2 linked regions of the Macaca fascicularis genome follow. The protein of the gene in region 2 purifies or fractionates together with the protein of the main gene of each other region. This does not show direct contact. Links are inferred from orthologs where the notes say so. Each region holds a gene or a part of one and is shown on either strand. Other genes may lie near its edges.

Region 1 (4,470 bases), on a different chromosome or scaffold from region 2:
CCCAGGAGTTTGAGACCAGCCTGGACAGCATAGCAAGACCCCGTTTCTATTTTTAAGTAAGTAAATAGATTAAACACTGACTGTAATGTCTGTGTCTAGAATAGAGTGGGGATTCAGTAAATACGTATCAAATGTTTTAGTGTATGAATGAATGATTTTATGACCACAGTTCAGAGATCAGGAAGAGACAGAGCCTTGAACATGAATATCTACCTACAGCACACCAACCAGGCTGGGCTTTATTATTTATTACTCAATCTTCCCCCTACAAGGCTCCAGTTAACATTACTTACTATTTTCCTATACTGAAGAATAATCCACCATTTTTCAGTTTTCTCTGTCTAAAACTGAGCACAGGCAGCTTGCCACACAAAAAATTTACTATGTCCTTTTTTTAAACTCAGTGTTCTTCCTTTCTAGGTCATCTGTTTGAAAAACAGTGGCATACTGGTTACAAATCCATCTTCCTGTGGAAACAACCTCACCGTTGATGCCACTCCTCTAGAAAAGAAGTCACTCCTCTAGAAAAGGAATGCTCAGCCTCCCCTGAGGTACCACTGCACTGCTTACAGCAAAACATTTCTTCTAAATGGGTAGCGCCTGGGTTTTTTCAGGGCTGTTACTACAGAATTATTTTGGGGTATCTAAATACATTATTTTCACTGGTTCCCCTACATTTTTTTTTCCAAAAAAGATACACCTGCTAAAGCCAACAAATTGTTTGGTACAAAAATAAGCATCCAGTTCCCTAGGATTCCCTAAGAAGATCTTGATTTTATTTTCATTTTTTTTGAGACAGAGTCTCACTCTGTTGCCCAGACTGAAGTGGCACGATCTCAGGTCACTGTAACCTCTGCCTCCCAGGTTCAAGTGATTCTCATTCTTCAGCCTTCCGAGTAACTGGGATTACAGGTGTGCACCACAACACCCAGCTAATTTTTATATTTTTAGTAGAGATGGGGTTTCACCATGCTGGCCAGGCTGGTCTTGAACCTGGGATCATAAGCTTCCACCACCATACCCAGCTAATTTTTTTTATTTTATGTAAAGACAGGGTTTCGCCATGTTGCCCAGGCTGGTCTCGAACTCCTGGGCTCAAGTGATCCATCTGAACCAGCCTCCCAAAGTGCTGGGATTACAGGCCTGAGCCACTGTGCCCTGCCTTAATGAATTTTTCTTGAAATGTCTGTTAGTATTCTCAGAATTACTACCACCAAAGCACAAAGTTACTTCATAAGTGCCGATCAAGTTAACCAACACTGCGACAGTTAAGCAATCATTTGGTCAGAATTTAGCAGAAATTGGAAAAACAAAATCTCTGGAGTTAAAAGGAGAAAGGAAGAAACCAAAACCAGCTGTTATCGTGGTAGCAGCTGAGAGCAGAGCTGGCCTCACCAATTTTTCGATGAAATCATCCACAGCTTGCCCAGCCTTCACCAGGAGGATGATCCGCCGCGGCTTCTTCAGCTTGGAGACCATCTCTTTCAGGGACTGAGCACCCACCACTTTGGTTCCCTTTGCCTCATTGGCCAAGAAATCATCAACTTTGGAGACAGTCCTATTAAAAGCACAGACCTAGAAGGACAAAAGGCCTGAGTAGGAGATCCAGGACACATAAGACCTTCAGACTGTGGCCCAAGTAACAATGACCTTTCCATTCAGCCCAAGTTCTGGGGAGGTCAGATCTGCCTTTGCCTTTTCCTCCCCAAGCTGTGGGAGGCTCACTGTAAAGTTATGTCACCTCAGTAGAATGAAACTGGCAGAGAACCGAGGCGAAGACCAACTACCCCCGGCGTTATCAGGTAGAATCCACAACCAACCTGTTAGGACTCAAAATCAAATCCAGGAACCGGCTGGTTCAACAGGCTCTGTCTGTTGCTACTGATCATCCTGGCGTCTAAGCCACTTTAGCATTTAGAAGAAACATTTTCACTCTCCCCAGATCTCATCAGGCAATCAAGTTAGAGCTCTACACAGCCAGCAGGGGTTCTCCTCCCGCACCCTTCGTCTCTACTAGACACTAATCCGTTCATTCGCGCTGTGAACCTCACGGACCCACAGGCACACTCCGCCGGACTAAGGTCGGGATCGGCCCGCCCAAGCCTACAGGGTGCTTCTCCTTTCCATACAAAAAGACATGAGCAGCAACAGACCGCATTCGCAAAGCACGGCCAGGAGACCCGTGAGCTCCCAGACCCATCGCCGGCCTCTTAGCCCGGGAACCAAAGAGAAGACAATGCGCCCGCGCGGCTTACCACAAAGCCATGGTCATTCATGTTCAGAATTAAGTTCTGGCCCATGACGGCCAATCCGATCAGCGCGATGTCAGCTCTGGAGAGGCAGAAACAGAACAAAGGAAAGAGTCAGCGCCGCTCGACGCGCTGAAATCCAGGGGCCCGGTCCTTCCCCGTTTGGCCGTGAGTGGGAGTTTGCACTTTCCTCCGCGCCTCCGGGGCCCCCCGAAGCCGGGCGCGCAAGCTGCAGAGCCTCTGCCGGGCAGGCGGCCCCCAGCCCCGCCCTCGCGCCCGACTCCGGCTGGCACGCGTCCCGCAGGTGTCCCTGCAGACTCGGCGAGGCCTGGCCGCGCCTCCTCCCTGGCCGTCGAAAGGACCCGCCCCGCCCCGAGCCTGCGCGGCCAAGAGAGCAGGGGGCCGGGCCCGCAGGGAAGGAGCTCCGGGCCCGAGACGCCGCAGGACGAGGGTCCCAGAACCCCAAATGAGCTCAGGCGACCTCCAGGATGGGAGGCGTCGGAGAGAACGAGGGAGATCCCGACCCCCAAAAAGTTCCCCGCCCGCTGAGGCCGAGCCCGGCTGCGCCTGGCGAGTCACTCACTGGGCCATGGCGGCGGACAGAGCAGAACCGAAGAGCGGGGAAGCGCGGAGAGTGAGTGAGGGAGAGACCCGCTGCGGCTCCCTCCAGAGGCTGCGGCTCTCACGCCCGGCTTTTCGGCGCCGGCCAATCGAATAGAAGGGGTGGAGCTGTGAGCCACGCCATTGGCTCTCTCCTACGCCTGTTAGACCATCCGAGGCAAACGTGCCCGCCCACTCCCGGGGGCCGGATCAGTAGAGCGCCGAGCACCTAGATTGACGTGGCCCCGGCGAGGGTCGGGGCTCCCCGCCCACGCGCAGAGTTTTCCGCTCCTCCCACCTGCACCTGGGTCCTGCAAGCTGTGCGTCTGGCGCAGCCGTAGCTATAGCAACTCACGCAGGACTGCGCTTTACAGTTTACCAGGCACTCGGACGCCTTTGGCGCCAGCGTCCGTCGCTCCTTCCTCAGGTCACTGCGGTGCACTGTGCGGGTCCGCATCGTGGCCCTCTGCTCTGGGGCAGAGGCCTGGCGTGCTGGTTCTGTCCTGTACGCACTCGGAATGGGGCCGGGAAAGGCTGAGCCTCAGGGCGATCCTGATGTGGGGCCGTGCGACCGCTCACTGCGGGTGACGAGCCCCAGGCGCAGACAGCGCAGGCGTGGTATGTATTGGTGGGAGTATGATGGGGCCAGGACTTGAGTCTTTTACCCAGGCCCGGAGATAATGGCACTGAACCCCTTCGCATTTTGCAGAGGCTATGTGACCCACGAGATGGACCGGGTTAAATGCAGAGGCAGATATGAAAATCCAGCCATCTTAAGCCAGACATTAAAGATATTTGCAAAGTGGCCAAGCAGCGCTATTCATCTTACTGAGTCCCTTCTTGCTAGGAGGAAATTGTTATTCAAAAGTTTGAGTTTTAGATTTTTTTTTTTTTTTTTTTTTTTTTTGAGACGGAGTCTCGCACTATTGCCCGGGCTGGAGTGCAGTGGTGTGATCTCAGCTCACTACAACCTCCGCCTCCCGGGTTCAAGCAATTTTCCTGCCTCAGCCTCCCAAGTAGCTGGGATTACAGGCGCCTTCCACCACGCCCAGCTAATTTTTGTATTTTTAGTAGAGACGGGGTTTCACCATCTTGGCCAGGCTAGTCTGAAACTCCTGACCTCGTGATCCGCCCGTCTCGGCCTCCCAGAGTGCTGAGATTACAGGCATGAGCCACCATGCCCGGCTTTTTTTGTTGTTGCTGAGATGGAGTCTTGCTCTGTCTCCAGGCTGCAGGGCAGTGGCGTGATCTCGGCTCACTGCAACCTCCACCTCCCAGGTTCAAGCGAGTCTCCTGCTTCAGCCTCCCTAGTAGCTGGGACTACAAGCACATGTTACCATACCCAGCTAATTTTTTTTATTTTTCGTAGAGACAGGGTTTCACCACGTTGGCGAGGCTGGTCTCGAACTCCTGACCTCAAGTGATCCACCTGCCTCAGTCTCCCAAAGTGCTGGGATTAGAGGTGTGAGCCACTGTGCCCAGTAAGTTTTTAATTTTTTTAAAGACAGGGTCTTTGCTCTGTTGCCCAGGGTGGAGTGCAGTGGCATGATCATAGCTTACTGCAACCTTGAACTCCTGAGGTCGAGCAGTCTTCTAGCCTCAACTTCCTGAGTAGTTAGGA
Region 2 (4,265 bases):
AGAGACTGGGTTTCTCTATTTTAAAAAATAATTTTTTACTATTATTATTTTAAATATTTTAACAAAAAATCTGGGATGCGCAGATACAAAGACTATAAAGGTTTAAAGGTTTTTTCTTTTAATTTCATAAATTGTATGCCATGTCAATTTTCATTTGATGTCAATTTTACGTGGATACTAAAAGGTCTAAAACTTAACAATCTTTAACACCAAACTGAAATCTCATTTATTGTAAAACACCCTGAAAATTCAGAGGCTAAAAATTTCCCAAGACCGAAAGACAGTGAAGAGACATATTAACCCAGAGTGTAGTGAGTCCAAGTAGCTCCAAGAAAGGGCCTGGGAAGATGTGCTGAGTTGACAGTACAGGAAAAGCACCACTAGGAAAGAAACAGCTCTACCTTTCTATCACATTGTTAGGTAAATATTCACTTAGTACCAGCGACTTCAGGCAGCAACTAGGGCAAATTATCCCGGTGTTTCAGGATTAAGGTAATTTAGCAGCCCTGCCCACTCGCCTTGAAAAAATACACAAACATTCCCAACAAAGTCAGGAGCAGTAGGAGAGCTAAGATCTAAGTGAAAACCTCCTGCCAAGTACTAGGATGGGAGCTAATAAAAACCTAGAACTGTTCTTCTTGTTGAGTGAAATCTGACAAATTAATGATAATCCTTAACAAATTTTAACTCAAATGTGTCCTTTTCCCTATAATCAGTCACATGCTCTTCTTTCTTCCCACCCACCCTGCAAACACTTTGTATGCTGCTTGAGAGAAGCGTATCTTTAATGATTCTAGCCGGCCTGTAACATCACTATTTCAAGCTCAAGGCTTGGGTTCTAGTCACAGCCACTAACTACCTGTGTTATTATACACAACCACTTTACCTCTCTCCACATGAGCGTCCTAATTGCTATGATAAGGAAATGGAAAAAAATACGATCACTAGCTCTAACACTACAGTAAACTGTACCAGAAATTTATAAACTTTCTACTTCCTTAATACAGATGTCAATGTGCATTTTTTTCCTTTCTGAGTTCATAGTATTTGTGAAATTTTCAAATGGGTCTGTATTACAAGAAAGGGTAAGAACCACTGATAAAATATTAAAATGACATCAGTAAAACTATTATTTCCTTTTTAAGAAGATAGCTCATGACAATGCACCTTTTAAATGAAGTGGAAATGCCTCGTCTAAAAAAAATTCACCATGCTGCTTTATGAAGTAAACGTAGTAAATTCAGTCAGGAAGGGCACTGGCAAATGAAATCCACGTTGCAGGAAACTATAAACACTGCATTTGGTTCCAGAATACCGATTTTTCCCTTCATTTGTTCTCAAGCCACTTTGGTTCTTCTGACTTTCAGATCCCCCTAACCAATTCTTAGCTGGCATCTCCACTTGGCTGCTTCACAGGCACCAAAAAGTTTTCTGCCTAAAACTGAATGCTCAATCCTCCTTTCCACATCTATTCCTTTCCCAATTTTCCTCACTCTGTAAGTGGCATCATCATGAACACTGTTCATCAAACCAGGCACTTTTCATCATTCTTGACATTTCCTGCTTATATTTACTCCACCACACCCAATCTACTTTCTAACAAAACCACCCCAAATCTATCTCAACTCAGCCCTCCCCTTTTCTCCCCAATTACACTGCCCCACACGAGTCAAAGCCATCATTTGCTGCTCCCTGGACCTCTGCAATAGATCCTTAAATGGTCTCTTCGCCATTACACAGACCGCCCCAAATCCGGACAGAGTGGAAATCAGATCCTGTCATTACCCCGCTTTAAATCCCTCTATTGCCTTCCACTGAATTTGGAACAAAATCCCACCTTCTTACAGAGTTCACAGGGCCCTGGAGCACCAAAATGCTTGGTTCTTAGATCCTGCCAAGCTTTTTCCTGTCTCAGGGCCTCGATAGTGTTCCACCTGAATGCTCTTCGACACGTATATCCTTTTTTTTTTTGAGACGGAGTCTCGCTCTGTCGCCCGGGCTGGAGTGCAGTGGCCGGATCTCAGCTCACTGCAAGCTCCGCCTCCCGGGTTCACGCCATTCTCCTGCCTCAGCCTCCCGAGTAGCTGGGACTACAGGCGCCCGCCACCTCGCCCGGCTAATTTTTTGTAGTTTTTAGTAGAGACGGGATTTCACCGTGTTAGCCAGGATGGTCTCGATCTCCTGACCTCGTGATCCGCCCGTCTCGGTATATCCTTAAAGTAAGATTCCATTGATTGTGCCCATTTGTTTTGAAAAGGGAGTTTATTACACAGTTGTTTTAAACAAGTTCATAACCCTAGAGCTTAGGTATAGAGTGGCTGCTCTAAACTAAAGCAACAGAAGGGAAAAGGGAGCAGGGCAGGTCTTCCAGCAGAACACCAGCTACCATTTCTGTGGCCAGGCCACGCCATCGATTCACTCGGGGAGCCCTGCCCACCGAGGCCCAGCAGCCGGCTCCTGTGTGCAGCTGCCCCGCAGCAAGCGCCAGCGGCCTATGGCGCCGCCCCATTTATCCTAATACTTGGACTCGAACTAATGGAGTCACTGTTAGGCGAAGAAAGGAATGACCTCCAAGGTCACATGCAAGCAAACTTTGGTCTCAAGTCAACAGGAAATTGCATCGAAATCGCTGTCGCTAGCGTCTTACAAGTAAGGGTTTTCTCCTTAACCCAAACAAGCCTTTCGGGCTGGGTTTTTATCACTTCCGCTCCAAAACCGAGGAGGTTGAGTGAACTTCACCCCACGACCCCCGACTCTCCGCGGCGGCCGGAAGCGGAGGCCTGGCCGGGGGAGGGCAGGACCCCGAGGGGCGAGGAGAGGAGGGGGCTGCGCTCACCTCGGAGCAGAGCCATGGCTGCGGCTGGGTCGTCGGCGGCGCGGGTCTCTGGTCTGGGGGACGCAGAGCGGCCACTTGCAGTCACCCAGATTTCAAGAGCGTGGGTGGCGCCCCGGGAGCCACGCCCCTGCCCTTTCACCTACTTCCCGCGTAAGATGATCCTACTCCACGCGTGGCTGCCCGCCTCACCCTAGCCCGAGGGAGCCCGGGGGTCGGGGCTCGGGTAGACCACTACGCGTCTTGAGGGCTGACTCTTTCCTCACGTCCTCGTTTTTAGATTTTCTCCGTTTCCAAACCGAGAGAATTTGGTTTGACACCTCTCACCCATCATATCCCAGCCCCGAGAGGGAATGACTGTTCCCTTTGGTCTCCGCCAGAACCCTAAACACCTGGCAGGAGCCCAGGCCAGAGGAACTTGGCGCGCTGGCGGCCGCCAGCTGGGGGCGGAACCGAACGTCCTGGGGGCGGGGCGCGGCGGAGGCGCGACGGGATTGGCTGGAGCGGGCGGCTGCGCAGTCCGCTGGGCAGAGGCTCTGGTCGCCGATCTGGACGCGCGACTGCGCTTGGGTGCTGTACTGAGGGCTGGGCGGAGAGGTGGGCGGCAGTTGGGGTGCGGTGAGTGTAGTAGGCTAGGGCGCTTTCGGGTCCCTATTGCAGCCCCCAGATGAGCCCGTAGTATTTTCCTTATATGATCAGGTCCCACTGCGGGCGGCGCAGCTTGCCCGGAGCCTGAGAGGATTATGAAAACGTGGCGAGCGAAGTGGGGCCAGGGGACCTGGAGCGGGGGCGTGAGGAGAGGGGGCAGCAGGTGAGGCTGGACGGGAGGGAGGTCTAGGGAGGCCTCTGCCGCGGTCACTGTGAGCCCTGGCCGATGATGACGAGACCACTGCGCAATCTGAGTTATGGGAACCACGTGATGGAGTGTGTTCTGAGAACAGACTGAGGCCGGGCGAGCAGGAGGCGGCCGGGGCAAGGGAGAAGCGGAGAGCCCCTCGGTACCAGGGCTCGGAGGGCCGGGTTGCCTAGCGAGGGCTTCTTTGAGTGCGTGGGGGTGGTGGGTGGCATGGACGGTTTTTCTGAGTCGTCAGCGAATGCCCCCTCTAGAATCCTGCTTTTCAAACGCTTTGGTGACACTCTTGCAATGTGGGGTTTTTTTAAAATCCGAATTTGTATTATGAAAACTTTCAAACTTACAGAAAAGTGGGAAGACTTGTACAGTGGACGCATATCGACCCAACTGTTAACATTTTGCTATATTGCTGACCACCTGTTCTTCCATCAAACCATCTTATCTTTTTAACGCAGACCTTAGTACTCTACACCCATGAACACATCAGCACACATTATTCATTTACAGTTCTTTTTAAGGCAAAATACCCATGCAATCAAATGTACAAATCTTAGACAAGCTTCACAAATGCTTATGTAT

What was found.
Region 1: the proteins of ACAA2 (region 2) and PGD fractionate together in Homo sapiens (co-fractionation; 3 studies listed by BioGRID). This does not show direct contact. The link is inferred for Macaca fascicularis from reciprocal best matches to the Homo sapiens genes ACAA2 and PGD.

The regions. Positions count from the first base shown.
Region 1 is NC_088375.1:224,413,125-224,417,594, forward strand, and holds the start of PGD (6-phosphogluconate dehydrogenase, decarboxylating), read right to left. Parts: upstream 2,890-4,470; 5' UTR 2,841-2,889; coding exon 2,833-2,840; intron 2,332-2,832; coding exon 2,256-2,331; intron 1,576-2,255; coding exon 1,396-1,575; intron 1-1,395. UniProt on the Homo sapiens protein: Catalyzes the oxidative decarboxylation of 6-phosphogluconate to ribulose 5-phosphate and CO(2), with concomitant reduction of NADP to NADPH.
Region 2 is NC_088392.1:39,956,227-39,960,491, reverse strand, and holds the start of ACAA2 (3-ketoacyl-CoA thiolase, mitochondrial), read right to left. Parts: upstream 2,903-4,265; 5' UTR 2,853-2,902; coding exon 2,837-2,852; intron 1-2,836. UniProt on the Homo sapiens protein: In the production of energy from fats, this is one of the enzymes that catalyzes the last step of the mitochondrial beta-oxidation pathway, an aerobic process breaking down fatty acids into acetyl-CoA.